Kluyveromyces lactis: one gene and its partners. The protein of the gene in region 4 purifies or fractionates together with the protein of the main gene of each other region. This does not show direct contact. Links are inferred from orthologs where the notes say so. Each region holds a gene or a part of one and is shown on either strand. Other genes may lie near its edges.

Evidence for each region.
Region 1: the proteins of PRP19 (region 4) and SMX3 purify together in Saccharomyces cerevisiae (affinity purification with mass spectrometry; 4 studies listed by BioGRID, with this or other methods). This does not show direct contact. The link is inferred for Kluyveromyces lactis from reciprocal best matches to the Saccharomyces cerevisiae genes PRP19 and SMX3.
Region 2: the proteins of PRP19 (region 4) and PRP9 purify together in Saccharomyces cerevisiae (affinity purification with mass spectrometry; 4 studies listed by BioGRID, with this or other methods). This does not show direct contact. The link is inferred for Kluyveromyces lactis from reciprocal best matches to the Saccharomyces cerevisiae genes PRP19 and PRP9.
Region 3: the proteins of PRP19 (region 4) and RSE1 purify together in Saccharomyces cerevisiae (affinity purification with mass spectrometry; 3 studies listed by BioGRID, with this or other methods). This does not show direct contact. The link is inferred for Kluyveromyces lactis from reciprocal best matches to the Saccharomyces cerevisiae genes PRP19 and RSE1.
Region 5: the proteins of PRP19 (region 4) and CUS1 purify together in Saccharomyces cerevisiae (affinity purification with mass spectrometry; 3 studies listed by BioGRID, with this or other methods). This does not show direct contact. The link is inferred for Kluyveromyces lactis from reciprocal best matches to the Saccharomyces cerevisiae genes PRP19 and CUS1.
Region 6: the proteins of PRP19 (region 4) and CBC2 purify together in Saccharomyces cerevisiae (affinity purification with mass spectrometry; 3 studies listed by BioGRID). This does not show direct contact. The link is inferred for Kluyveromyces lactis from reciprocal best matches to the Saccharomyces cerevisiae genes PRP19 and CBC2.
Region 7: the proteins of PRP19 (region 4) and BRR2 purify together in Saccharomyces cerevisiae (affinity purification with mass spectrometry; 5 studies listed by BioGRID, with this or other methods). This does not show direct contact. The link is inferred for Kluyveromyces lactis from reciprocal best matches to the Saccharomyces cerevisiae genes PRP19 and BRR2.

Annotation. Positions count from the first base shown.
Region 1 is NC_006041.1:435,783-439,162, forward strand, and holds SMX3 (mRNA splicing protein SMX3), read left to right. Parts: upstream 1-1,936; coding exon 1,937-1,939; intron 1,940-2,050; coding exon 2,051-2,386; downstream 2,387-3,380. Other genes in the region: GPI-anchor transamidase subunit GAB1, read left to right, coding at 439-1,617. UniProt on the Saccharomyces cerevisiae protein: Plays a role in pre-mRNA splicing as a core component of the spliceosomal U1, U2, U4 and U5 small nuclear ribonucleoproteins (snRNPs), the building blocks of the spliceosome.
Region 2 is NC_006042.1:2,291,342-2,295,836, reverse strand, and holds PRP9 (SF3a splicing factor complex subunit PRP9), read left to right. Parts: upstream 1-1,437; coding exon 1,438-3,030; downstream 3,031-4,495. Other genes in the region: ATP-dependent RNA helicase DBP10, read left to right, coding at 1-1,129; CDS1 (phosphatidate cytidylyltransferase), read left to right, coding at 3,329-4,495. UniProt on the Saccharomyces cerevisiae protein: mRNA splicing factors, PRP9, PRP11, and PRP21, are necessary for binding of the U2 snRNP to the pre-mRNA in an early step of spliceosome assembly.
Region 3 is NC_006037.1:720,448-725,691, forward strand, and holds the start of RSE1 (U2 snRNP complex subunit RSE1), read left to right. Parts: upstream 1-1,769; coding exon 1,770-5,244. Other genes in the region: GSF2 (Gsf2p), read right to left, coding at 1-535. UniProt on the Saccharomyces cerevisiae protein: Involved in G2/M transition. Required for pre-mRNA splicing and endoplasmic reticulum (ER) to Golgi secretion pathway. U2 snRNPs associated protein required for the pre-spliceosome assembly.
Region 4 is NC_006040.1:326,463-330,585, forward strand, and holds PRP19 (E3 ubiquitin-protein ligase PRP19), read left to right. Parts: upstream 1-1,895; coding exon 1,896-3,371; downstream 3,372-4,123. Other genes in the region: OCA5 (Oca5p), read left to right, coding at 1-1,511; KLLA0_D03905g (glutathione peroxidase), read right to left, coding at 3,666-4,123. UniProt on the Saccharomyces cerevisiae protein: Probable ubiquitin-protein ligase involved in pre-mRNA splicing.
Region 5 is NC_006042.1:790,098-794,240, reverse strand, and holds CUS1 (U2 snRNP complex subunit CUS1), read left to right. Parts: upstream 1-1,930; coding exon 1,931-3,382; downstream 3,383-4,143. Other genes in the region: MCH5 (riboflavin transporter), read left to right, coding at 1-312; RRG7 (Rrg7p), read right to left, coding at 573-1,274; BIL1 (Bil1p), read left to right, coding at 1,466-1,696; peptide alpha-N-acetyltransferase complex A subunit NAT1, read left to right, coding at 3,762-4,143. UniProt on the Saccharomyces cerevisiae protein: Essential splicing protein required for U2 snRNP binding to pre-mRNA during spliceosome assembly.
Region 6 is NC_006038.1:913,412-916,960, reverse strand, and holds CBC2 (nuclear cap-binding protein subunit CBC2), read left to right. Parts: upstream 1-1,852; coding exon 1,853-2,449; downstream 2,450-3,549. Other genes in the region: KLLA0_B10450g (homeobox domain-containing protein), read right to left, coding at 2,915-3,549.
Region 7 is NC_006039.1:1,578,552-1,583,666, reverse strand, and holds the end of BRR2 (ATP-dependent RNA helicase BRR2), read left to right. Parts: coding exon 1-3,915; downstream 3,916-5,115. Other genes in the region: TFIIH/NER complex ATP-dependent 5'-3' DNA helicase subunit RAD3, read right to left, coding at 4,008-5,115.

The DNA of each region.
Region 1 (3,380 bases), on a different chromosome or scaffold from region 4:
GGTCAGAAAATGCCAAATAATGCAAAACAAAAAATGACCCACTAAGGAAAGGCTTGAACTCAGATCTCTGTGCCTCAGTGCTGTAAGATTATCGGTTAAACACAGTATTGTTGTGACTAAACCTGACATTCGACTGCAGGTTGCAAAATTCTGCTGTTTTAGAAGCGAGTATCTTAATCACGTGATATGTAAACACGTATTAGAGTAAACTGTTCACGTGTCCGGGTAATGTTTGTGTGGATCACTTTTTGTATTACCATTGATTTAACTGATGTACTTCATTTCAATACAATAAGCTTTCAAATATGCATAATTTGTACTGCAATTACGAAGCTCGGTTCACGATTGGTTTGTTTTTTTGCATTGAACGGTGATACGATTCTGAGAGGATACGAAGTGACCCTACTGTGTTGACTTGTTGTGTCGCTTGAGGTGATTATGGTTTCGTCCGAATGGCAGGTTGTATGGGCTTGTTTTGCGTCCAGATTGGCTGTTTCGTACCTGTTCCCTTCTTTGCAGCAGCAATTGGACAGAACCGTTGAGTTTTCTACTCCGGTTACAAGCTATAGATCTCTGCAAGAAGGTGCGTATCTTTTACTGCATAATTTGCCCATTTATGATGGTGGTGTTGTGCATCATGTGCCTCTGCTGGTAGCTTTAATGGCATTCGTTCAACAAGCGGAGTTTCTAATGCCCGTTTTGTTTGCGGCCATGGACACTCTAATAGCGTATCAATTGATGCAAATAGCTAAGATATATCAACGCCAATTGCAAATTCCTAGTTATATTCCAGGTGTGGTTTATGCAGTGAACCCTTTGGTACTTTTATCATGTGTCTCACAATCGACATGTCTATTTGTGAACCTTTCCATTTCTACTTCTTTACTATTTGCGTTATCTAGACAGTTCTCACTGTCAGCCATATGCATTGCGTTGGCTGGTTATTTATCACCTTACGCTTATCTACTGTTGATCCCATTGGCAGGAATCTGTGGATCAAATTCTTTCGGCCTTGTTGTCAAGTGTACATTGGTATCGATTGTTTTGCAGTTGATCAGTTTCAAGTTAAATAACGATAACTGGAACTATTTGACTTCAACATACTGGATATTGATTACTTTCAGTAAGATAAGGCCAAATCTAGGGTTGTGGTGGTATTTCTTTATTGAAATGTTCGAATTTTTCATCCCATTTTTCAAATCTGTGTTCAACATATTTGTTGTTTCATTTATCCCACCTTTCACTATTAGATTCAATCAGCAATCGTTTTACGCATTTGTTCTATGTCTAGGTTGGATTACGCTCACCAAATCATACCCAACGTTAGGTGACGGAGGGTTTTTCTTAAGTTTTATCCCATTTTTCAAACCGATCTTTGGGTATCTAAGATATCCAGTCATATCAACCCTTTTATTCATTCATGCCATCATTTTGTCACCAATCTTCTACTACCTATGGATTGGATTAGGCTCCGGTAATAGTAACTTTTTCTATGCCATTTCTTTGGTTTATGCGTTAGCCATCTCGTCAGTGATTGTGGATTTGACGTGGGCCATGTTAAGAATTGAATACGATTCAGGTAAACCAAACCTTTCATTAAAACTGACTCAAATTTGAATGAACCCTGTTCCTTCTGTTGGAAGAAACATATCGTATTGTCATTATTTAATATATATCTAAGTATGACTTACCCAGTGCATGGCATAAAAACTTTTGAAAACTGTCCGGACTACTTTGGTTTGTTTTATTTGTTCCCTTGGTAGGGCATCTAATATTTCCATGCCATATTGAAAAACATGAAAATACAGTATTGCAAAAAGATAGACAACGAAAACATTACGTAGCAACCAACAGACGTAATAAAACCTTTAACAGATTCTCGAATTATATCGTGTAATCGATACATATCAGAACACCCGCGCATTAACGTATTGAAATGGTAAGTTTTCTTGTTCCATACTTTTTTGGTCGCAGCTAGGACGATTATGTCCATCTGCGATCGATGAATCCACAGATTTTGTCACCTTACTAACCAATTTAAACGTTGCAGGATCCAGAGGAATTCAAACCAATTAACCCTAAACCCTTTTTACATCAATTGATAGACAAAGATGTGCTGGTGACACTCAAATTCAATAAAATACAATATAAAGGAAGACTTGTATCGGTAGATACATATTTCAATCTACAACTAACAGATGCGGAAGAGATCATAAATGATGTCTCAAGTGGGAAAGTTGGGGACATTTTCATCAGATGTAATAACGTGCTATACGTAGGAGAGGATGTGAACAAGCAAAGTGATCAACCCCCTACGCCGACTGGAACAACAGAGAAATCTGACGATAAAGAGGAAAATGGAGAACTCGCAGAAGAAGCGAATTAATATAGCACTAGTCTGAATATTATTGAAGCAAACAAGGAAACATCGGAATAATTATGGATTCACTGTATAGCTTTCCTCAGTTGTAATAGAATTAGGGAACTGCTTATCTTAATAAAGGGAATATTAGTATTAGTATAATTAATGATAGTATAGTTTATGTAGGTTTTACAATTCAAAGGCTCATTCTAAAAAAATCTCTAGAGATTAATACCTTATGTTTTTCATTCCAAGAAGGTCTCGTTCACGGTGTAACAGCTGTTCCAGCCACCATGGATTTCTTATTGCTTACTAGTTTTCCAGTTGAGTTGGGGTAGTGATTTCCAAAAAAAATGCAAAAATGAAACGGACAGGAATTGAACCTGCAACCCTTCGATTGCAATTTTGTTTCCATAGAAATTTCCAGGATTTAACTGGAGTCGAAAGCTCTACCATTGAGCCACCGCTTCATTCTTAAGGTTTTTATCTATAACATCTTCTATATGAAATGGAGTGGCAGCATTCCTTATTTATAATAGTCACTTTAGGCCAGAGTATATTGCTAAGGTGAACCTGGAGCATTTCAACTGAATTAGGTGTCGTCGGTACCAGTGTTTTTTAACAGAATTGAATTACGCTTCCCAGGATAATATAATTTTAGTTTCTTGTATGCAATGATCAGTATAAAATGCACATATTATTTAAGATTCGATGACGACTGCCAGCAAGTTGGCCTCGTCACTGCAATAAAATATAATCATAAAGTAATAGCGAAATGAGGATTACCCTTTATATCACAATATATGTGCCCGTCTTGCGGTAAAACCGATATCTTTGGCTCAAAGTTAAATACTTTTGTGAGATTCTATTACCGAATAGATCATGACCTGAATTCAGTCATCGAAATGAAAGCAGTGATGGTGTTCATTTACAAATTACCTCTGTAGCTTTCTTTGGTACATGCTTCTGCTCTTGCTTTTCTAACAGTTCCCATGCCCAGTAAAGGATGTAATAGGTG
Region 2 (4,495 bases), on a different chromosome or scaffold from region 4:
CAAATCTGACTTTGAGTTAAATACTGTGAAAGGTGTTGCCCTGAAAGCCGAAAAACTTTACTTTAGAACCAGGACACCAGCGTCTGCTGAATCCATGAAAAGGTCAAAGGAAATTCTCAGATCAGGATGGGACGAACAGAATATATACTTCGGTAAGAACGCCGAAAAAGAGAAATTGGATTTCTTAGCTAAGTTGCAACACAGAAATAACAAGGAAACTGTATTCGAGTTCGCAAGGAATCCAGACGATGAAATGTCTGTGTTAATGAAGAGAAGGAGGAGACAAATAGCTCCAATTCAAAGGAAGGCAAAAGAAAGACAAGAACTTCTGGAAAAAGAGAGAATGATTGGTTTGAGGCATAGTATAGAAGATGAAATTTTGAAAGGTGAAGACAACGAAGTTGGTTACTCAGTGCCTGATGAGGTATTGAAAGAATTTGAAGATGCCGATGTCTTGTTAGAAGAGCAAGAAAATATTAAGAAGAAGCAGAAGAAAACTTTCAGAGATCCAACTTTTTATCTATCACATTTCGCACCAACTAGTGACATTCAAGATAAACAATTACAGATATCATCTGGTTTCACAAATGATGCTTCCAATGCTGCATTTGATCTAGCCAACGATGACAAGGTACAAGTTCACAAGCAAACAGCTACGGTTAAGTGGGACAAGAAGCGTAAGAAATATGTGAACACTCAAGGTTTGGACAACAAAAAGTACATCATCGGAGAAAGTGGTCAAAAGATTCCTGCAAGTTTCAGATCCGGAAAATTCCAAGATTGGTCTAAGGCAAGAAAAATTGCTCCACTCAAAGTTGGTGCAAGAGAATCCACTATTCCATCGAATCTATTGGCTGATCCGACTTCTCCATCGGAGCGTACGGTTGGCGGTAAATTCAAACACAAGACTCAAAAAGCTCCTAAATTGCCTGATAAACATAGAGACGATTACGCTTTCCAAAAGAAAAAAGTGGAAGCTGCTTTGGAAAGAGGTGTTAGAGTTAAGGGTTATAATGGTCCTGGGATGAAACAAGAAATAAAGTCAGTTGACGAGATTAGAAAGCTAAGAGAAATTAAAGAGAAAAAGCGTTCCAAGAATGCCCGTCCTACGAAGCGGAGAAAACATTAGTATATTATGTAACTGCTCAAATAACAATCAGTGTGTAATTGAATAGACATTTTCTAAGCTTAAACATGAAATGGCCTCTCTCCAAATTATTGTTATGATATGTGACATATTGTATTGCTGGTTTACATTGTTTACTAGTATTTGTTCCTCATACGTCGAAATTGCCATTGATTATAGAAAATAAAAATGTAAAGAATGGAAATACCTTAGAAAGTACAAATATGGATCAGATGAAGGCTCAAAATGAATACCGTGCCTTCGGTTTACTGTCTGTGTAGCAGTTAGAGGATTCATAGAAGACAATAGATATGAATGCCCCCACTTATCTATGTTTTGAAGAGAGGCGAAAGATATTAGAAGAATTAGAAGTCATCGAGGATGCTATTTCGTCCAGACTACGAAGAAATCCAGAAATCTTTTACAGATTTAACGAAGCACTGCATAATCTGGGAGTTGAAGCTTGGGCGGTACCTAAGCTAGACGTTTCTGCCAACAGGATTTACAGGAGCAAGAAAAGCAAACGTTCTAGAAAGCAAATCAAAGCACAAGAATATGAAATCGCCTTATTTCTTGGAAGATATAGAAGACTGTTGAAATCTTTGCAAAAGCACAAATTGAGTGAAGAACATTTAGAATACTTTAGGGATACAAACGCTAGCTTTGAACAGTTTGAAACCGTCACCACAGAAGTATTAGAGGGTCAAGTAAACTCACGTTCTCTGGTTGAAGTCAAATCTGACTATGAGATGTTTTCTGGCCCTCAAGCTGCCAGTAAGAACATCATATCGCCCATAGGACAAATAATTGATCTTTCAAGAAACTTTGCTAGAGATGAAAACTTTGGGACGTATTTGGATCTCTCAGAACAATTCAAGAAGTGGTTGAATATCATCAAGCGTGCGGATTTAACGATACTTTCATTTTTGAAGATGTTAGAATCATTTGAAACATACGACTACTTACTCAACCCATCATTAGATAGAGACACCAAGGAATATAACCAATTAGTCACTGAGTTACTGAAATATTATAAGGCCTATTACTCCAAAGCTTATCCTCTAGTGGACAAGGAAATTCTTTCCAAAACCATCCACAATGGATTTGATAAATATGTGAGGACCGGTATCACAGAATCCCCATCGAAGGAAAGCGGGAAAATGTACTCCGTTGTGTTTAATCGATGGTTTGATAGTCAGTCGGAATTTAATACTCATGTTCAAACTGAACAGTTTAATATTGCATTGTCTCGGAATAGAAAGCGTTTGATGAAGGAATACACGTTTCACTGTTTTTCCAAATTTCTCTCTAAAGTATTGCAAAATACAATATCATTCACGGAAAGAAAACTTGCATTCACAGATGAAGAGTTTACTGAAGAGCTGGAAAAGCTACAAGAACAATATGAATCACCCATATACGCCAAAGATGAATCTGAAGATAAACCATCTTATATTGACAATGCTGAAGATACTGCTCAAAAAGAGAGTATGGATCCAACGAATCCATACAACCTACCATTAGGACCTGACGGATTTCCTATACCTCGCTGGCTCATCAAAGTCCAAGGTTTAGATGTGAAATATGTTTGCGAGATCTGCGGTAATCAAATATATCATGGGCGTAGAGAATTCGAGAAACATTTCCCACTGAAAAAACATTCAGAAGGTTTGAAATCTTTAGGCATAACTCCTTCTCTTGCATTCAAAGATGTCACTACTATAGTAGAGGTGACAGAGCTATGGAAAGCATTGCAAGCAAAGAGTACACTAAAGTCAGGTGAACCCTTTTCCAAAATATCAACTGTGAAAGAACCGGAAATGGTACTTGAAACAGAGGACAATGAAGGTAATGTGATGAGTGTTCAAGTATACGAAGAACTTAAGAAACAGGGCCTTCTCTGACCTTTCAATCCTACACACATGCTAAAATGGAAAGACTCTCCCTTATTGCTGCATCTGTAAATATCGTATGTATGTAGAGGAACTTTACACAAGTTGGGAGCATGGTTTTTTTTTCACATGTCACATGATCTTGAAGTTCGAAGAAAATTATCCATTTGGAATAGATGGTGGAAATATATAATCAACCAAGAAAAAAGAAGAGCATCATCACTCGCATGAGTAAGGAAACAGATCTCTACTTCACAGCATCTTATTGATCTAAGCACGTTACAATCTGCTAACCGGGAATATAAAAGTGATGACAGTCAAAAAAAGAACTGGTAACACCTCCCGTGGTGGATCTGCAACCTCAACACCTCAGAAACAACATCGAGAAACAACATCGAGAACACGGTTAGTTGAAGATTACAAAAAACACTCCAAGGTTGAAGTCAAAAAAGATTCAAAACTATATAATTTTGCTGTTAGAACCATTTGGACATTTGTTATGATTGCAGGTTTTTTTATCATCTTGGCTTCTGGTCACTTTTGGTGTGTTGTCTTGATTTTGGGTTGCCAAATTGCCACTTTCAAAGAATGCATTGCAGTTACTGGACAATCAGGACGTGAAAAAAACCTCCCTTTAACGAAAACTTTGAACTGGTACTTTTTGTTTACTACGATATACTATTTGGACGGTAAATCACTTTTCAAGTTCTTCAACGATACCTTCGTGAAGTATACCGTTTTGAATTTCGTGGCATCCAATCACAAGTTCATTAGTTATTGTCTCTATGTTTTGGGTTTTGTTATATTCGTTTGCAGTTTGAGAAAAGGTTACCTAAAATTCCAATTTGCTTCATTGTGTGTGACACATATGGTTTTGCTGTTGGTGGTTTTTCAAGCACATTTGATCATCAACAATGTTTTGAACGGTTTGATCTGGTTCCTTTTGCCATGCGGCTTGGTCATCGTGAACGATATATTTGCTTACTTATGTGGTATAACTTTTGGTCGTACCAAACTAATTGAAATCTCTCCAAAGAAAACTTTAGAGGGTTTCCTCGGCGCATGGTTTTTCACTGCAATTGCCAGTGTTTTACTGACCAGACTTCTTGCACCATATTACTACATGACATGTCCAGTTACAGACTTGAAAACAAACTTTTTCACAGCGTTGAGTTGTGAGTTGAACCCTGTTTTCGTTCCACAGGATTATAGACTACCTCCGATTATTTTTGAAAAGATTGGCGTTGACGTTATTACTATCAAACCGGTCTATTTGCATGCATTGAACTTGGCCACTTTCGCATCCTTATTTGCACCATTTGGGGGTTTCTTTGCGTCTGGATTGAAGAGGACATTCCAAGTGAAGGACTTTGGTGATTCAATTCCGGGTCACGGTGGTATTACTGATAGAGTCGATTGCCAATTTTTGATGGGTTCTTTCATGAACTTGTATTACGAAACTTTCATTAGCGAAAAC
Region 3 (5,244 bases), on a different chromosome or scaffold from region 4:
TGACACTAACAGAGTTGATTTCAAGTTCTTCTCTTAATTTTTCAGCTACGAATGTTAGACCAGCGTTATCAGCGAGACTAGCAAATCTCTTAGAAAGTTGATTTGTAAGACAGATACCTGGCGTTGGAGAAATACAATCTGGTAAATCAGTGTACAACCATACCAGCATTATAGTTACAAAAGTCCAGATTGTTTTCCAGTCCTTCTCCCATTTTGGTAATACTAATTGACCAGGCCACAATTGTTCCCAAACGGTTTTCTTTGAAACTTCCAAATCCTCTAAATACTCTGAATCATCTGCAGAGTAATCGAACAATAAACATCCATTCTCAGTTAAGAAACCAGGATGCATGGATTTCCTGAAACCAGATGGTTCGTTCTTATAAAAAATTGATGGCTTCAAAACCATAAACCTTGAAAGACCCTTTTCCTTATTAAATATTAAGGCAATTTTTTGTTCTAAAGTATCATCTTTTTGTACTTGAAACGCATAATCGTACTCTAAATCATCATTCATACGCACGTAAACCTCCATTGCGACTAGTTTGCTATTGGTTATTGATGTTAATTTTCCCACAAAACCGGAAATATTCGCCTTCCTCTCTGATAAATCTTGAAAAAGTACTGAGTATAGTAACTAGCACTGCTTTGTTGTAATCTGATCTTAACCTTATACCGTCTCTGGTTGGTTCGGATGGCAAATTTGCTTTGGTGTAGTAAATTACACTCTAGAGTTCAGCCTTTTATCCTAGAAGAAAACATTTCGTACTTACCAAGTTTTAGCATATGTCATGTTTCCGTTATTATATATTATTAAGGTTTTTCCTGGTGAAAAGGAACGGACACACAGAGAGGAAGAAGAAAAAAATAAACACACACACAGAGCTGATCTGCCAATATGAGTCCACCCGATATCTGTATGCGGCCGATTAATATTTCCCCAGTAACAATGTATAAATCAACGTGTAGAGACAGACAAAGAGTTTTCTCATACTTGCTCCTCTGACCAGAAGAGAAAGTCAAAAAAACCAATACAGAGTGTCTACCAGTCAAGCTATGGCATTTGAATCCTCATACGGTGTTTTTCTTTTCTGAAGAAGAGAAACACCTACTTAGAGTTAGTAGCGTAATACGCCTTGTGCTTTGAACTTGGTGAACCATATTTACGTTTCTGCACCATCAGGTGCACATTTGTGGGGTTACCAAAACGTGATACCGTTTAACGACACCAGTGCCAGAGCCAGTGCCGGTAAGGGAACAAGTAGTATCGAATTACATGCTGATCTCGTAATGGATTAAAACAATGACTGTGTGCCTTTCTTTCTCAACGTACAAGCATGCCTGTACGCTCTCTTCATCGTAAGTTTTTCCGTCCATATGGAGCGATAAACAGCCTTTGCGTATGTTTCTGTGTTTTCTTATTCCGCTTTGAACGAGCACTTCGCTCCTGCTCCAACAGAAGTTTTTCCGAAACAATGTGGAGTCTCATGTCATTCTGGTCACGTGATCGCATCTTTTCGTGTGACGTGATGTCAGGGTAACATGTTGTTGACTTTTTGGGATTTGTTGGTCACGTGTAAGTTTTTGAAATAGTATTTCCTAACTTCTTCATAAGGGCGGCAAAAAACCAAATCTGAAAGTAAACAAAGTAACTAACAACAGCGCACTTCTTGAGTGCAAGTTGACGAACAACACTACTGATTACCATCAGTATACACCTCTGATCATCGTCTGAAGCGTGTGTTTAGTTACCCGCTAACGAAGATCGGATGACTCAGGACTCTGAAGTGTTGCTATGGCACACTGTTTTACAACGACATAGGAACTACGTTCATTCCTGCATCGGTGATTTTACTTTGGATAGATCATCATTAGCGACAGCAGAAGCTGATACAACAAGTGTTAAGGGACCGAGGTCATCGAAGAAGCGGAAGGAACTGCAATTATGTCTAGCTACACAGGATTGTGTCGAATTGTACGATGTTAGCAATGGAACATTGGATGCGTTGGGTAAATGGCCTATAGCAGCTACTATTCTTTCTATGACCAAGTTGAATATGGATAGATGTTCACATACGATTTTGGTGTTGATAACTGATTCTGGGAATTTAACATTTTGGCAGTTTGAGAGGGATTCCGTGAGCGGGAAAGTGTACGTGCGTACTTTGGCAAACGAACCGATTTCCAGATCTGGGATCAGAAGGTTTGTACCTCAATATCAAATGGTTTCGGATCCACAGAGTAGATGTGTATTTTTCAGTGGGATTGAGCGTTCAAAGATGTGCGTGTTGGCTGACTGGCAACGTGGGAAATTGGTTGTTGGTTCTCCTATAGAGATTCAACGAAGTGATAGAATCACTTTGGCATCGGCAGCTTGTGATGTAAGTTTTGATAATCCGGTGAATGCTGCCATAGAGGTAGAATCTGGGACAAATGATTACTATTTGTCTTTTTATACAATGGATTTGGGTCTTAACACGTTGCTACTCCGGAAAGAGCATCTTTTAGAGGATAAATCCATCAATTTCGTTATGCAATGCCCAAATTTACAACAGTATAAGATTAAAACTAGACCGAATGATGAAACTGATCAAGATTCGGTAAATCCATTTGTTATTTGTGGTTATGATGGATACTTGACTCTGATAGACTTAGAAGGCTTTTATGAAGTGTCTGTTCAACTCCCCGTCAGAAAAACTGTTTCGTCAACTAATATCATCAACGGTACTATTCATAAATTGAAGAAAGATTTTTTCATCCTAATGCAGTCTAACCACGGAGATATGTACAAGGTCGGAATTATCCCTGATGAAGAAACTAAGGCGCCAGTTCTTGAAATTGCATACTTTGATACACTCCCCACTTCTGAAGACATCCACATTTTCAAGTCAGGTGCTCTTTTCAACGTATCAGAATTCGGGACCTCTTATTTAACACAGTTCGAAAGTCTTGGTGAAGATCTAGAAAAAATTACATCTTATACCCCGGGAAGGAGATCATTTATTGAAACAGAGTCCACTTTGAAAAACCTATCCATTCTTGACTCCTTAACTTCTTTAAATCCCTTGACGTCATTTCATGCATCAAATTCGACACCACTCACGATATTGGCTGCAGCCAATCAAACTGAGAATCTTGTTAAATTGACTTCTGCGGTTGATTTTGAAGAACTTATATCAACTACATTACCTAGAATACCATCAAAACTTTGGACCGTTAGAATTCCTAAAAACGAAACTCACAGTCTGATATTTCTTTCTATGGAAACCTCAACGACCATCTTGAAGATCCATGAGGGAACTGTCGAAGATTTTGGTGGAGATTCAAACCCATTTATTTTGAACAAACCATCATTGTTTGTTGGCGCTATGGTTCAAAGAAGTATTATTCAAGTTACTCGGGATTGTCTTTTACAAATTATTGAAATGCATGATGGTCCATACACCAAAAAACTTGAATGGTATCCACCAGCTGGTGTTGGCATCGTGACAGCATTTTGTAATGAGACACAGTTAGTTGTCGCTTTAACAAATCATGAAATATGCTATTTTGAAATCATAGAAGATTCGTTAAACGAATTACAGGATCGAGTGGAGATGGATTCTACAGTGAATTCTATTGCATTGCTCGCCGGTCAAAAGTCAGGCTATTGTGTATTAGGATGTGAAGATTCTAGTCTGCAGATTCTCAACTTACAGAGTAAACATCCAGATTTTTTCACTATCTGTGCTATTCAGTCACTAATATCAAAACCGCACTCTCTACTTTTCATGCGGGACACGTCGGATCTTAAGATCCACGTAGGTATGAAAAGTGGTGTTTATCTGTCATCTAAACTCAATATCAATGATGGCACAGTGTTCGATGTACGTACTAGATTTGTCGGAACGAAGCCCGTCCAGGTAAATCTCTTGGACAATATAGATATCAATCACAAAGATGATGATGATGATGAACCTGGAGAAAATGATTCAAAAATAGACGATTTCAAGAAGAAGATTTCGGATTTCACTCCACTAGTGGTATTGAATTCAAGCATATCTTGGGTAACTTACGAAATTGATGATAAAATCACATTACGTCCTTTGAAAACAGATGAGGGGATAACCTTGAAACATATAAATGCTTTTATCACGGATGATATCAAGCGCAACGGCTGCTGTTCCATAACCAGCAAAGGGCAACTCCTAATCGGCAAATTAGATAACTTTTTGTCCTGGAGTAACTGGTTCAATGAGAAAAAGTATACCCTTGTTAATGACGAACTTAAAAACGCTGGCAATGAAGAAGAGGATGAAGATGAGGATGAAGATGAGGATGAAGATGCAAGTGAGAAGTACGAAATCGTTGGTTATCAATCACAACGGATCCTTTCAGATACAACGGACAATTCGTTATCATATGTTATTTCAAAGACAGCTAATAAAGAAACCAGTCTATCAGCTATTCGCGATGATAAGCTATTGGCAACAAACAATGGGAATACGGTCGTGATTATTGCTAAAGAGGTCTTTAATGCTGTCTGTAGTTGCAATTTCGGTACAAATGTTAAATATATTGTCATATCTACTGAATCAGGGAAATTTATTGTGATTCAAATTCGAGTGAAGAACAACGTTCTTGAAACCCAATACATTCATGAAACAATGGTGCATAGTAAGGTCAATGCCATGGTTTCGTTTGGAGATAAATTGGCATGTTGCATTCTTGGCAATGTTGTCCTATTTGGACTAGGTAAAAAACAATTGTTGAGGAAAAGCATCACCGAAATGCCACCATATATTACCCAAGTAACTGCATTAGACCAATGGGATGGAACCATGTTAGCAGTTGGTGATATTAGAGAATCTGTTACGATCTTCAAGTATGATATAGATAATAACAGCTTCATTGGAGTAGCAGATGACATTGTGAAAAGGCATGTTACTACAGTCAAGTTCATAGATGTATCGAGTGTTATCGGTGGGGATAGGTTTGGTAACTGTTGGGTCCTTAGGGTGAACTATGAGAGCGACACTAGAGTCGCATCTAACATTAAAGCTTGCCAATATACCTTAGAAACGTTGTGCCATATGTACATGAACGATACTCCGATGAAATTTGAGATTGTGAACCATATGAATATGTCCGATCGACCAGCCATCTTATGGATCGGACTACAAGGAACCATAGGTTGTTTCGTCCCCTTGATAACAAGAAAGGAGCAACAGTTATACCAATCGTTCCAATCCACATATGCCGAGC
Region 4 (4,123 bases):
AAGAATGGAATCGTGAATTGGTGACGTTATTCATCAAATTATTGAATGAAAACGACCATGCTTCGTTGGCTTTAGTGGCTAGAAATGCTGGAGTTCCGCCACAGTTGCGTCCGGCTGTTTGGCCCACGTTATTAAAATATCATCCGATGGTAATCTCGCCGAACATCATGTCGAACACGCTTGTCTTCAAAGATGATGAGAATGAGGCAGAGCTACGGTACTTTCCTGAAGATAGAAGTGAAGAAGATATTTCAGAGTTGATGGAAAATGACTTGAACAAGTACTTCCAAGTTAGAAATTCAGTCCCGGTGTCCGCAGAGATCCAGGAGATCAAATCTCTATTGAAAGAATGTGTATGGCAGTTCTTGAGAAAATGGAACAAAATCTGTAAATATGAGTCGGGGCTCATCTGGATAGCTCTTGGCTTGGCAGAATGGTGTCCCTTGAAGAATAACGATGATTTGGTCTTGGCAGGTCGGAAACACCATCATCATAACTCTTGTCTGAGACATTTATATGAGGAATATCCAATTCCTGATGAACTACTGAATCAATTACCTGATACCGAGTTTGATTTTGCCGCTATCTATGAGCGTTTAGTATTAGTGTTGTTTCATGCTCCAGCATTAGACGAAAAACCTGATAAATCTAATTATCACCTACTTAAGAGTGGGAATCTGAATCAACAATCGCAATTGTTCTTCAAGGTTTTCGCCAAGACGTTACCCGAACTGTATCAACCCATCACTGATGAAGGCGCTTTGCAAGGTTCCAAGAAGGCTACTTGGTTGTATTGGTGGATCAAATGTTGTGGTTGCAGAGTGTTGCATCGTCAGGATAGAGGAAGAGTATGGGATGTGTTGCTCGGATGGAGACCACGTCCTGAATCAATCAACTATTATCTCGAGTACAACCATAAATCATTTGAAAGCATTTATCCACCTGAATTGAAACTGAGTTCAGAGATTTTCCATAAGATTTGCAAATGTGAACATGATGAGTTTTGGTTCCCAGATTTGATGTCGTTAAGGCTCGGTCAAAATGGATTGAACCAAGATGAAGATGTCATTCGGGAATTGATACGAAGAAATAAATATGGGGACGATGGTCATACTACAGAAACACAAGAAAATGAGATTCCATATTCGCTCTTGAACCCTCATGCGGAGTTACTTTTCATATATGTTGCCATTATGCAACATAACGAATTTAAACTTTTAGAGTTTGAGGAAACAGAGATCACCGAGTTCTTAAATAATGTCCCACTGATATCAAAATTCGATGACTACAACTTCAAGAAGATGTACGAGGATGATGACATTAGTGGAAGTTCGACAGACACAGATGAATCCAACGCTTCAGGAATTAGACCAAGTTCTTCAAATCATATGATGATAGAGGTCGGTACTGACGATAAGACTGCACACTCGTTTGATGACATCTACCAGCAGGCTGGAGACATCTGGAGAAATTGGGCTTGGCAGGAAATGGAAGAATTCATAGAAGAATGATATATCAGCATTATATTTGTGTCTTTCTTGTATGTAGTATATCTTCTTTTCCTTTAATTAGCATATATATATATAAAAATACTATATACATCTCGAGCTCTATGAATATTGCAGATTGTATTCTAACCTGTTGGAGCGTTCTAACCAGCCAACTAAGATGTGAGTTGATTTGTTAAATAAAGTCATTTCTTCATCCAGTATTTTTTTGCATGTTCAAAAGAGAAACGAAAGCATTTTTATTTAACATTAGAAAACCAACATAAATGTTACATGAAAGATGAAGCACCGATATACATAATTAGATAATGGCTTCAAAAAGGAGAACCTTGGGGCTTACTTCTGGTGAAACTACTTAAGGACTGGCTAAATTGAGGTACGCTAATTATGTTCTGTGCAATTAGTGGGAAACCACCTATAAAAGCTGTTCTTTCACCTAATTCCAAATGTATATTTGAACAGCATCTAATCGAACAGTATATTGAACAGAAAGGAACAGATCCCATAACGGATGATCCATTACAAAAAACAGATTTGGTTGAAATCAATGCGACTCCACAGCAGATATCACTTTCAGAATCATTGAGCTCGTCTACTATCGCAAACAACTATAGCATTCCAAGTCTATTGTCAACTTTGCAGAAAGAATGGGATGCAGTAATGCTCGAGAATTTCGAATTAAGGAAGCAGTTAGACGTTTGTAAAAAGAATCTCAGTGATACACTTTACAGGTTTGACGCTGTTGCATCAGCGGCAGCAAAAGCTTTTGTAGAGCGAGATCAGCTGAAGCAAGAATTAGCAGAACTTACATCGGCAATAACTTCCTCGAATGTCGAAAATGATGGAACTATTGATAAACTCCAGAACTCAGACCAAATTCTATCAGACTTTACTTCAGAATTATCGACGAAATCTCAAGAGTACGTGACAAATTCCAAAAAGTCTAAGAAAAAGCTACAACACTTCTCCAACGTTTCAGTCGTTCAATCGACAGATTTCTCTGAAATTGATTTGATTAGCAGAAATCAGCATGTCAATCTTAATGAAAGATCTGTTGTTGTAAAAGATAATGACAAAGCTTTTGTGTTTGGACCTCAAGATTCTATTCTTGATGTGTCACAAGCCACAGAATATCTGGTGGAGTTTAAAGACGTTCTATACACCTTCACCCAGGGACTATTAGCAGCGTATGACCTTCATACAAAGTCTTTGTTGTATGAAGAAGTTTTGGAAGGAACTGATGGGCCAGTGATATTTATGGCTTATCCTCATCAAATATCGGATTCTTACTTCTTATTCGTAACTGAAAGAGGTACAATATATGGGTATGAAGTTACCAAAAAAGCACTGTTCACCATCTCACAAGTTAAATTGAACGATTCCGTTCAATTTGTGAATTATCATAAAGATGGAGCTCTTCTTGCTATTGGTAACCAAAACGAAGGTGTATATGTAATAAACCTATTGGCTGCTACAAAAGATCCGATTAAATTTTCAACTGGCTTCCCAGCTAAAAGAGTAGACTTTGGTTTGAACGGTTATTGGATGTTTGTCTTTGGTGATTCTGACTTGAATGTTTACGATTTAAGAAAGGATCCAGGCACCTTGGCAATGGAACCACTTTCTTTCGCTGAGAATATCATCAGTGTGGAGTTGGACGATACAGCTAAAGGTTTTTTCGTAAGCATGGGTAATTCACAAGTACAATGGTATGAGTATGTTAAGGGACAGTCATTTGTCGAAAAATCTACTCTTCCGATCGAAACAAATACAGCAGAATCCATGACATTGGTAAAAATAGATCAAGGATATTTCTTGAACGTCATCTCGGAGAATAAATGCATAACATATGAGTTGAAGTAGATATATGATACTTGTCCTAAATAAGGTATAAAAATTGTAATTATTAGAATAATCACTGATTTGATGGTGAGAGTCGTTAAATATATGATCCGATAATACGTCGAAAAATGAACATGTATGAACTCGCCCCCATATATGTACGTGATTTCATCGTAAAAAGAAGTGAAAATCATGCTCTTTAAATATCGAACTGTGTTTGTGTTTTTCTTGCAAGTGAATAAACGGGAAAGAAGATGGCATTACAGAATATGAAAAAGGGATTACCCCGAAGAACTCTTCTTTACCATCTGCTAGTCATGATTGTAGTTGGCTTTTTTGTTTTAGTAATTGTTCGATGTCTTCCTTCATACTTTTCGGTTTCGTCAACGTGGAATACCGTCCATGGACTCTCCCTGAGCGATCGATCAAAAACTTCTCAAAATTCCATCTAACGAACGTGAACCCAAACATTCGCGGTTGTTGATCTTTCAAGTACTTATATAGCGGAAGAGCATTGACACCATTCACTTTACACTTCTTCATTATTTTAAAACTGACACCGTAGTGCTCCTGGCAAAATTTTCCTATTTCTTCATCGGAACCAGGTTCCTGGTTCATGAACTGATTGCAGGGGAATGCTAATATTTCAAACCCTTTTGCATGGAATTCTTTGTACAACTCTTGTAGCTCTCCATATTGACCTCGGAAGCCACATTTCGATGCAACATTAACTATAAGAACAACTTTTCCTCGCAGTTCACTCATATGATATT
Region 5 (4,143 bases), on a different chromosome or scaffold from region 4:
AGAGCGGTGTTATTCGCATTCAGTGCCATTTATGGATTTTCTTCCGGAAGTATCTTCAGTATCTTACCTGTCTGCTGTGGACAAATCTCAAAGACTGAAGAATTCGGAAGAAGATATTCTACAATGTACTTTGTTGTCGCATTTGGTACTTTAGTAGCAGTTCCTATTACAGGTGCCATCATCGGACCAGAAAAGAGTTTCAAGGGCTATGACCACTATGTAATTTGGTGCGGTGTCACGTCATTTGTCTCTGCTATATGTTATATGATTTCCAAGACATTAGCAGTGGGCTTCAATATGAAGAGATTCTAAAATGCCATCCACAACTATTCCCAAACTTGTTTTAAAACTTACGCCTTCCCTTCAACATCGAGACATCATTAATACATAATTTTAACCTGGCTACTATATACATTCCTATCTCGTTTTCATGCGCTGCATAATCAGATACACAACCTTTATAAATTTATACATCTTTAAATTAATTAGCATATCATATTTATTACATTCATCATATGTACAGGTTTCATTCTATTTAAACTTTTCTGATAGCGTAATTGCGTGCTAATATTTCATTTTTGTGCTAAGGACTCATAACCTTTCAATTTTAACCATTCTTTGATTCCACAATTTGCAAGTAATTTCGATGCATAGTCATTCTCATAATAATGCTGTAGTTTTCCCGAGTTTTTCACATCGAAGCTTCCATCAGCTAATCTCTGGATCATATCCACTTTGGTAAATACCATTGGTATTGCGGCCTCATTAAACAGCCTTATTCCATCTTTTGTAAACAAAGTTGGAGAGCTCATTATCATTATGCTCGAGTTTCTTTTACGAGCGGGAACTTGCATGGAGAATGATCCAATTAATTCCCGTACCTGGCGGCCAGTAACTTTATCTGAATTGAAAGCCTTACATTGAATGTAACAGTCTAAATATTTATCGGGTTTCACCCTATGTTTCCATGGTTTTATCGATGTAGTCGGAAGTTTCAAACGTTTAGGTAGCTCATCGAATTGTATTTGCATTTCTATAGCCTTTGTTAATGGTAAAACGTTCCATTTGCCCCGAATATCAATGCCGCCATCATATGAACCGCCAACTACCTGCATATCCTCCAGTCGGAGCTTATTCATTAATTCTCGTACCACCGTGAGCTCATATAGCGTACCTTGAAAAACGGTAGAGTTGGCGATGCTCTCATTGGCAGCAATATACTTCTGTAAAGTATCTTTGGGAAATGAACTTGCAAAAACCCCTTTCCAACTCATCTGTATACCTAATAGGCTATCATGGACAAAATAGACCAGCTGGCGTTCTCGCCATTGTTAGTCTCATCACCTCCATGTATCATTTGTATCACCAAAATTTGGATCGGATTCAAATAACTAAAAAAAATGTAAATGTCATAGAACCGACATACCTTGAAGTCTATTGATCTAGCTTACATACAGCCATATACATGCAGTCATCACTTCAAAAGATGATTTCGACACAACCAATTGTTACCCCTGAACCAAAAGGATCAGAAAATAGTGGTAATTCCAACGAAGATGTTCCCACCGTGTTTGAGATAGCCTCAGATATTCAGCAAAAGTTACAGGACTTACTGCGGAAAGTGAATGACGATGATGTACAATTTAACAAATTCGCCGATTCAATCAACGATAGACTCAAGAATTTAGAAGAGTGATTCGTTATTATCCATAGTCATATAGCATCTATCACATGTATACAAGACCGTTGAATGTTGCCATATCTGTTCACGTATAATATAATGGTATAAATTTCAACATTTAATTGAAAAATATATGTGGTCTTAATAAAGGACATAAAAAAGGCAAATTGACAGATGAGCATACAATAGTATTCTGGCTCGACTGCTTATTAATATAACAACAGTCAACTGCCCACCAGATATTGCACTATGGTAAAGAAAGCCAAGGCTAATAAACGCCGTTCAAAGAATAAAAATGGATCTGTGAAAGAGGATGCAGAAGAAAGGAAGAAGAGGCTTTCCAGTTTGTTACAACAAGTGTCATCAGAGAATGGCAACACCTCGCAACAGGTAATTAATGAACCTTTAGTTATCAAGGATGAAAGTCTCAATAAAGTGTTACAAAGATTTAAAGCTTCGGCTACAGGGGCCGATGAGGATGATGATTCAAAACGGGAACAAGCCATAGTACGAAAAGAACGGGCTGATATTGACGATGAGGATGCTGAGGGTTCCGACAGTTTTGAGGATCAAGCGGATGAAGTACTTCAAAATATATCAGAAAGACAAAAGAGACTTGCTAACAAACCAAGTATTGCTGTTTTGAAAGCTTCAGTACCATATCCGGAACTCATCGAATGGTTTGACTGCGATGCGCAATGGCCTTATTTCAATGCAGCTATAAAGACAACACATAATACAGTGGGGATCCCCAGACATTGGCAAATGAAAAGAGGTTATTTATCTGGACGATCAATGATGGAAAGGAAGCCATTTCAATTACCTGAGATTATTAGACAAACCGATATTGAAACGATGCGAGAGACTGTTCCCTCTGGAAACGAAAAGCAAGCAGAGAAATTGAAGGATATTACCAGAGCAAAAGTTCAACCCAAGCTAGGTGTATTAGATCTAGATTATAAAAGGTTGTACGAAGCATTTTTCACTTTGGGAAAGAATTGGAAACCTGAACTATTGTCATTTGGTGATTTATATTATGAAAACAGAAGTTTGGATAGTGAACTCGAATGGAAACAAATAAAGACACGATATAGACCAGGGTATCTATCGGAAACTTTAAGGGAGGCATTAAATCTCACGGAGGGGATGCTCCCGCCTTGGTGTCATGAAATGAATAGATTAGGACTACCCAAATCATACCCTGGTATGAAAGTCTGTGGAATAAATTGGGAAATCTCTAATCTTACCGGTACACAATACGGATACTACCCTGAAGATACTTTGAGAATACCCAAACAAAACTTATTCGGAGCCATGTTCTCATTTGAAGAATTAGAAGATCAAGACGCACATATTGATCCAGATCCGTTGAACGAATCAATTTCCGACGATGAGGTGTCTTCAGACGCCAATGAAGCGGAAGCAACAAAAACAGAAAGCGAGACACATGAAAACAATAATTCAGGCTTAGTGCCAATTGATGGAGGCTCTGTAGTCAACCAGCACTATGATGAAAATAGACCCTTATTTACTGTTCTAACGGAAGCTAAATCAAACGAAGTCGACGGATCTACAATAATCAGTTCCACTACCTCTTACAATATTACGAACAAACGATCAACAAGCGTAGAGGAGAAGGACGATGATAATGTCTTACATAAAAAACAGAAAGTGGAAGAAGAGCCTGACTTCCGTTTTTGATCTTTACATTAACTCGTTAGAAACCCTACGTTTCAAAAGTGTCAGCTGTTTCCCTTTAATTACGTAAAATATTTGTAAATGTGAGTATGTAACTATATCAAAAGTATCATTGGATTGCAACATGTTTTAACTTTATTGCAGTAGGTGAGTAATAAACTCCTTGAATCGTACCAGCTCCGCTTGCTAACTATTACCTTCAGTTCGTTCAAACCCAAACATTTCATTTTCAATGTATCTCTAAACTGAAAAATTTACAATAGTCAACGTCTAAATCATGAAAATTATCAAGTTCAACAATCATATTCATGACTGAATAAATGGAGAAACACTCTTACTGGCTTGCTTATCTACACTCAGCGACCCATTGATCTACACTAGCATGTATAAAAAAAAGGGACTATCTCACGGGAAAGTGGGACTTCCAATTGGTAGGTCTAAGGATGACAGCAATATGTTGGAAGCACTGCAACTATATGAAGGTAAAAATTACAAGAAGTCGTTGAAGATCTTGGACACAATCTTGAAGAAGAACAGCAGTCATGTGGACTCTATAATTTTGAAGGGATTGAACTTGCAATTCTGTAGTACACCTGAAGAAGCTGCTAGTTACATTGATAAAGCGTTATCCAAAATTAAAGGCACTCTTGTAAGTCCAATTGGTGGACACTTATTAGGAATTTATTACAGACAGGTGAAAAATTACTCAGACGCTGTAAAGTGGTTCAAGGCCGCATTAGAAAATGGTTCTACAAACACTCAAA
Region 6 (3,549 bases), on a different chromosome or scaffold from region 4:
TCTGTTACAAGATTAAGTACCCAGATAATTTCTTCATGTTACGTGGTAACCATGAATCTGCAAACGTCACCAAGATGTACGGATTCTACGATGAATGTAAACGTAGACTGTCCACTAAAGCTTGGAAAATGTTCGTGGACGTTTTCAACAGTTTACCCTTCGCTGCCATCATTCAAGATAAAATATTCTGCGTTCACGGTGGTATCTCGCCACAATTGTCCAATTTGAAACAAGTAAGCAAAATCCAAAGGCCCACAGATATTCCGGACGACGGTCTTTTAACTGATTTGTTATGGTCGGATCCTGACTCTTCTATTAACGATTGGTCTCTGAATGATCGTGGTGTCTCTTACACTTTTTCAAAGAAAAACATTGCTGATTTTTGTTCCAAGTTCAATTTCGATTTAATTATCAGAGGGCATATGGTGGTAGAAGATGGCTATGAATTCTTTGCAAGGAAAAAATTGGTCACGATTTTCAGTGCACCAAACTATTGTGGTGAATTCGAAAATTGGGGTGCTGTCATGAGTGTGACTACTGGCTTGATGTGCAGCTTTGAACTATTGAAACCTCACGGTATTAAAAGAAAGAGATAAAAGAAGTTTGCTTCCGATTAGATGTTTACATGAAACAATATCTATTTTTTTTTTCATTACGACTATTCCTTTTCTACAAATTTTCATACATAGTGTATCATGAATCATTGATGAATATTTCATTTCTCTCCTTTTATGGCTTTATTATACTGATAATAGTAATTCCGTTCGTTCGCACCTTTCTCAATCTTGAAATACAATATCATAATACTGTCACAATCACTGATTTCTTTTTCTCATTTTTACTTCCTTTTTACACTAGGCCAATACAATTTTCAACTACTTGTTTTTCGACATACGTTTTCTAATCTTTATAACAATTCAACCATATCTCATCTCATAAATGTCTGAAATACTTTGGTATTCATGTCTATCAGTTTGTTTGTTTTCTTGTCGTCTATACCGTATATGTCATTGTATTACGTATCCAATGTGTGGTAAACAGGTACTGCTGCTAATTCTATCTTGATAGTTTACTGCCTCTACAGTGGTATATATTGTGACGGATTAGTTATCAGTATCATATATCACGGTCCGCTCGTTAATGTCGATCTTCATTATTTTCAGTTGTTGGGTTGTTGGCAAAAGCAAAAAATTTCAAAAATACTCCGATACGGGGAGTCGAACCCCGGTCTCCACGGTGAAAGCGTGATGTGATAGCCGTTACACTATATCGGATAGTAACCATACAAAATAGAAATCAACATTAGTTTTTATTATGGAAACAGTATCACTTGAAACCTTCTCTTCAGATATTGTTAGTATGTAGCTGAATCTCTTGGAAATACTTGTGTAGTCAATTTTAACAATCAGCACCTATTTAACAGGGATCTTATTCTTCTTGGTGGCATGGGGGTGTGTTATGAATTCTAAAATGGTATCTTCCCACATTTCCCTTATGGCTATTGAGAATCATTTCTGTCAAAGTAGAGTGCATAACAATATTTTTCCAGAGAAACCACTGGATAGTCTCAAATTTAATTAATTGAAAGTTACTTATTATTCTTTCTCAGCAGTCAAGAGCTTCGATGCAGTGTCCACCCGATTTGTTTATTTGATTTTTCACAACCTGTCACTGACACAAAGTATTCAGTACTTATAATATGGCTTATATGGAAAAAAAAAAAAAACTTGAAAGATTCATTCAACTTTAAATTTGGGATTGAAATGATTAAGTAAAATCTATAGGTTCATAAGACACCATAGCTCCAGATAAACTCCAAATACCCCAAACTAGCATCAGTCAAGCAAATACCATGTCTCTAGCGGAGTTTGATGAGATTAAGTACGATCACAGTTGTGATAGGTTAGATAAGCCCTCTCGTTATTTGATCCGTAAGGCTAGACGTGACCCAGATTCTGGATTGCAACAGTTGAGAAAATCTATGAAATCCTGTACAGTTTATGTGGGTAATCTATCGTTTTACACAAGTGAAGAGCAAATATATGAGCTATTCTCCAAATGTGGCACCATAAAAAAGATTATCATGGGTCTAGATAGGTTCAAGTTTACGCCGTGTGGATTTTGTTTTATTATATTCGATAAGATGGAAGACGCATTGAATTCTATAAAATACTTGGGTGACACGAAGTTAGATGACCGTCATATAACCATTGACTTGGATCCTGGGTTCGAAGAGGGAAGACAGTTCGGTAGAGGTAAGAATGGTGGTCAAGTTAGTGATGAGATGAGATTCGAATTCGATGCGTCCAGAGGTGGGTTCTACACTCCACTTGAGAATAGAATTGGAACAAATGCCAACTTCGGGGCCAGAAGAGTTAAAAACATTCCAATACAGCAAGAGGATGAAGAATATGAAGAAGATGAAGATGCTTACATTCCAGGCCAATAAAAACAGTACAATCATAAGGTCGTTTATCGATGTGTATATATCACATTTCAATCTAAGTACCTATTTCACTAAGTTAATTGATTTAAAAGAATAATACTGTGGTAAGAAGTATTTTATTTGAATATATAGCTAGTTCATATTAGAGCTAAAGATATCTCGATATAATAAAAAATTTTGCCGCTTTAATCCATCAATAGGAGTTGGGTGAAATGAATGGATGGTAGATAAAAGAGCAGACAAACACTAATAAACTAATAAATGAAAGAAAGTTAAAGCTGTGCCTTATAATGAGCTCGTGACAGCTGGAATTGAAGATTGACCGTAGACAAAACAAAAAAAATTAAGAATATAAAGAATTAGGAGAAAGAAAAGACCACCTTAATATGAAGGGGTAAAATCTTCTTCTCATGCATGCTAAACGATAACCGAAAAAGTGTAGATTTATGATATGCATTACGACAAATGTCACGATGGTTGTCGACGATGAGAAGGTGGGGGCATATTATTCGATGACAGACGTTTCAATTCATCCAGACGATCTATCAATTTTTTCCTTCTTGTAAGTGGTATAGTACGGAATCTCATTTCCAATTGGGGATCAGATCCATCTTCCTCGTGTTGCACTGAGTCATCATGATCTGGAGGCAGGATTTCTGAACTCACCGATTTGTCTGTATTCACCGATTGGTTCAGTTTATAATATTCGTTAAAGATTTTACGACGTCTAACGTTGATGAACCAATTTGATAATTGAACTGGATTAAGGCCTGTTTTCTCCAATAATTCACGTTTCACCTGCGGTGTAGGGTATGGGTTATGTAAATTCTTTAAAAGCCAATCGTTAAGCACGTTGATGACTTCCTTTGGTAAATTCGAACGTTTTGATGAATTGAGTAACGATTTCGATTTAGATTTCGATTTCGATTTACGAGAAACCTTATTACCAGGATTAGGATCACTAGAGTTGATCAAAGCCATTCTATCAGCTGATACCGGGAGCATACTATTCACATTGGCCGAATTTGGTGGTGTAAGCATTGAATTTATCGATGGGAAGTGTCCCGGTAGCGTAGAAGACCTGCTATGAAGTAACAAGGACT
Region 7 (5,115 bases), on a different chromosome or scaffold from region 4:
TCACCGGAGAAAAGTGATTGGGTCATGCTTCCCCCACAAGATATCCTTCAAATGTTAGGAAGAGCTGGTAGGCCGAGATACGACGTAAATGGTGAAGGGATCATTATTACAAACCAATCAGACGTACGTTATTATCTCGCTGTGTTGAACCAACAACTCCCTATAGAATCTCAAATGATTTCAAAAGTTGTTGATAATCTTAATGCTGAAATAGTTCTAGGTAACGTCACCTCACTAGATGAAGCAGTTAACTGGTTGGGTTATTCCTATTTATCAGTACGGATGAAGCAATCACCTCATTTATACAACTTGCAAGGTTCTTCAGGAGACATGAGTGATGCTGAGCTCATAAGAGTCAACAGAAATATTGTGCATACGGCGTTGAATTTATTACAGAATAACGGTCTTGTAAACTATGACTCTCTTTCTAAGTCGGTACAACCAACTGAGCTAGGTAGAATATCCTCTCATTTCTACATAAGTTATTCGTCAATTGCAAAATACAACCGGGAGTTAACAATAAACAGCACTTTGATCGACATTCTGAGAATATTTGCTATGTCAGAAGAGTTTAAGAACATTACCGTAAGACAAGAAGAGAAAACTGAATTAGAGAAACTCGTCGAGCGTTGTCCAATTCCGATCAAGGAGAAGGCTACTGATTCATTAGCCAAGGCAAACATTCTACTTCAGGTGTACATTTCAAAATTACGATTGGAGGGGTTCGCTTTAAATGCGGATATGATTTACATTTCTCAGAGCGCAGGTAGACTTTTCAGAGCACTCTTCGAAATGTGCTTAAGAAAAGGATGGCCAAGACTAACCAAGCTTCTGCTTACCATCTGTAAATGCGTCGATAGCAGAATGTGGCCCACGAACTCACCATTTAGGCAATTCAAGAGATGCCCTCAAGAAATCATAAGACGAGCAGAAGCGTCTGGTTTACCCTGGAACGATTTCTTACTGTTGAAGAATGCTCATGAGGTAGGCGAAGCCTTAAGATCTCCAAAAAATGGTAAAGTTGCTTTCGATTTGCTTCAAAGATTCCCGAAGATTGGCATTCACTGCGCAATGCAGCCAGTTACAAATTCACTACTTCGTTTTGAGTTGGAACTCCAACCTACATGGATCTGGGATCTGGATTCCAGCAGCTATTCTGAAACATTCCTTGTTCTTGTCGAAGACACAGACGGTGAACAAACAATTTATCATGAGACATTGCATGTTGGGAGAAATGCAATAAACAGCATTGTGTATCTTGACTTTGTTGTATTTTTGAAGCAGAAAATGTTACCGCCGAACTATTTTGTATCCGTTATATCAGAAAAATGGCTAAACTGTGAGTACAAGATTCCTGTTATTTTGAGTGAAATAAAATTACCTAAACCATTCCCTCCTGCAATATCTGTTTCTGATTCAATTAAGAAAAGTACCAAGGAACTACAAATTGATGAATTTGAGGCGTTATACAATTTCCATTCTTTCAATAAAGTTCAAACTGAAGTTTTCGATACATTATACCATGAAACTGAAAACGCACTAATATGTGCAACAAAAGGTTCCGGTAAAACAATAATGGCAGAACTTTCATTATTGAACCATTGGAGAGAAGGCAGAGGACGTGCGATTTACATTTGTCCATTCAAAACCAAGATAACTGAACTTCTAAAGAATTGGAAAAAGCGATTCTCACATTTGGCTGGTGGAAAACTGATCAATGCTTTTTCTGGAAATTTGCAGCACGATCAAAAACAATTAGCCCAATCTCATCTAATATTAGCTACTCCGAATGAATTTGAATACCTGTCTCGTCGCTGGCCGGAAAGAAAAAACATTCAAAGAATAGAACTAATTATTTGTGATGACATCCATGAAATAGGCAACGAGATAATTGGACCGATGTATGAAATCATAATTACGAGAATGATTTTCATTGCAACACAATTGGAGAAGAATATAAGGATTGTGGGGCTTGGAACCCCACTTGCCAACGCAAAGGATTTCGGAGAATGGTTAGGTGCAAAAAAATCAAGTATTTTCAATTTTACTGCTTTAGAAAGGCAAACACCCTTGACAGTCGATATCGAAACTAGCATTTTAGTAAAAAGCCCTACTTCTAATCGAATGGCCCTAACTGAGATCGTTGAAAGTAGTAATCGTGTCGCCTCACCCGATGAAACTATAACAGTTTTCGTCACTGACAGATATGAATGCGTTTCTTTCGCGACAGAACTCGTTGGTCTCGCTGTTGCTAAAGGCATTGATCTTCTTAGAGCAGAGGAATCCAGTTTACACTCGTATCTCAACAAGGTCCAGGACAGCAACCTCAAGACACTGTTGCAAAGTGGTATAGGAATTCTATACCAAGGTATGCATTATTCCGATAGGAATGTAGTCCGTAAGCTCCATGAATACAAGGTGATATCGATTTTGGTTGCAAGTAGGGATTGTTGTTTTGATGCCCCTTCATCAAGTTTTGTCTTTGTTACTACAACTCAATATTTTGAAGGCAGGGAGAACAGATACATCGATTATCCTGTAAATACTATTCTTGAGATGATGGGAACAGCGTTTACGGCGTCAAATAAACAGCAAGCACATGCAAAACTAATCACCACAATGCAAAGGAAGGAATACTATAAAAAATTCCTTTGTGATGGGTTACCAACGGAGAGTTCTCTGCCATACCATGTTATTGATTTACTTACAACGGAGTTTGCAAACCAAACATTAGAAACCAAGCAAGACTGTATCGACCTTTTAACTTACACTTATCTATATCGTAGAATACATGCAAATCCAAGTTTCTACGGTATTCAAGATGTGACTGCAGACGAAATTTCCTCCTATTTAACAGAATTAGTAGAGGAAGCAGTAACAACCATGAAGGAAACCGAGCTTATATCAGTTGAAGGGGAAGCGAACGATTCCACAGAAATTGCAGAGGAGGTAATTTCCCCGAATAATGCCTGTCTTATTTCTGCTATCCATGCCGTAAGTTGTTTAACGATATGCAATTTTAGCCGAGCAGCATCAAGATCACTAAGAATGAGCGGTATTCTTGAAATTTTGTCTTCAAGTGAAGAGTTTAAGACATTGCCTCTTAGATTACATGATATAAAGCCATTAAGAAAATTATACGACATTTCACCTTTGAAGTTGTCCTCCGAATTCGATCCACGCTCCACAACAGCCAAGGTTTTTGTGTTATTGCAGGCCCATTTTTCAGGTCTTCATTTACCCATGGACTTATCACTTGATTTGTCTGAAATCCTTTCAAAAGCACCTAGCTTAGCAGGAACAATGGTAGATATATTGTCAATGAACGGTTATTTGAATGCCACTACTGCTATGGATTTAAGTCAAATGATTGTTCAAGGTGTGTGGGATACTGATTCACCTTTGAAACAAATTCCATTCTTTGATACAGACATCTTGGAGAAATGCAAAAACCATAATGTAGAAACAGTTTATGACGTGATGGCTTTAGAGGATGAAGAAAGAGAAGATATCATCACTTTACCGGAAAATAAGTTGAATAAAGTCGCAGAATTTGTCAACAGTTATCCAAACATTGAGTTGAAGTATGCTCTAGATATGTCAGCACCGATGAAACCTCACGACAAAAAAATGGTTACTGTAACAGTAAGTAGAGATGAAGAACCAGAAACACTAAATGTTAGCTCAAAGTCGTTGCCACATGAAAAAACTGAAGCATGGTGGATATTCATCGGTGAAAAGAGCTCCAGGCAGCTATATGCTATCAGGAAGATCGCGCTTACAAAAATGACCCAGGACTACGAATTGGAAATCGAATTGGAAGATCCTGGTGATCATGAACTAACAATATGGTGTGTATGTGATTCTTACTTGGATGCCGATAAGGAAGTAACATTTAATGTTAACATCGCATAGTAAATGCATAAATAAAAAGAAAGTACTGTATATATGCAGTGAATATAAATTAAAATAAAATTCTTTCTATAAGCAGAGTAGAATCCCTTTATCTAATCCTTCATTTCAATGTCCCCGTCATTATCCTTGACTTCTGTCACATCCGAATCAACAAACCCGTTATGTTGCTTTTTCTTAACACTTTCTTGGTGCGCCAGTAACTGTGCATGACTCCACACAGATACACCTTCTTGATCTTTTGGATCAGTTGGTTGTGCCATGGTTCGCAAAAATTGCTTAGTATTGGCGATAGCCATATCCGTGGACAAGTTCATGTCGGCATCAGATAAACCTTGTGCAATCCATTTTGGTAGTTGACTTTTCTTCCTTGCAAATCTACGGTCTGCCAACACCATTACACCGTAGTCATCTTTACCACGTAAAACTCTACCTAAGCATTGAGCTGCATGTCTCATTGCATCAAAAGATAAAAAGTCATTCTCTCGGATCTGGTAATTCTCACGTAAGAACTCTAGTCTTGCCTTAAGAATACGAGATTCTGTATACTGGAACGGAATGCCGATCATGAGTACAGTTCTTCCGTACTGATGGTCAAAATCGATACCCTCAGACACTTTACCACGCGCAACTGACAAAAGAATGGCTCCTCGTCCGTTAGAACAGGCCTTACGGTATGTTTCCAATGCTAAAGCAGTTTCTTGTGCATCGGGAGTTTCCACTAAGATCAATTTGTATTTCCAAACCTCATCTAGAATACCCATAGTTTGCCACATTGAAATAATGGATTCCATGTATAAATAAGATGGGAAAAAAACGACCAAACCATCGGGTGTGATTTTGGCAAATTCAACCAACATCGAACCATAGTTACGAACAATGGAAGGATCATTTCTAATTTCGAATCTAGATGATATTGCCACTTGATCAGAACCCTTTGTTAAAATCATTGGCAAGAATGATTTTTTCGCTAAAGTCATCGAATAAGATTGTTGTAATACAGTTTCGAAATTTAACATCTTAGGGTACATATCCAACGGGGATATGGTACCCGAAGTGATAATAACCGATGAGAATCGTTCGAAGATAGGTTTAATTGCAATCGATGCGTCAAGACAAGTAAATCTAACGATTGGATTGGGCACTGCCGCATTTTCGATTTCATACGGTTCTATAATCAAGAGGAACCCATCCTCATAAGTA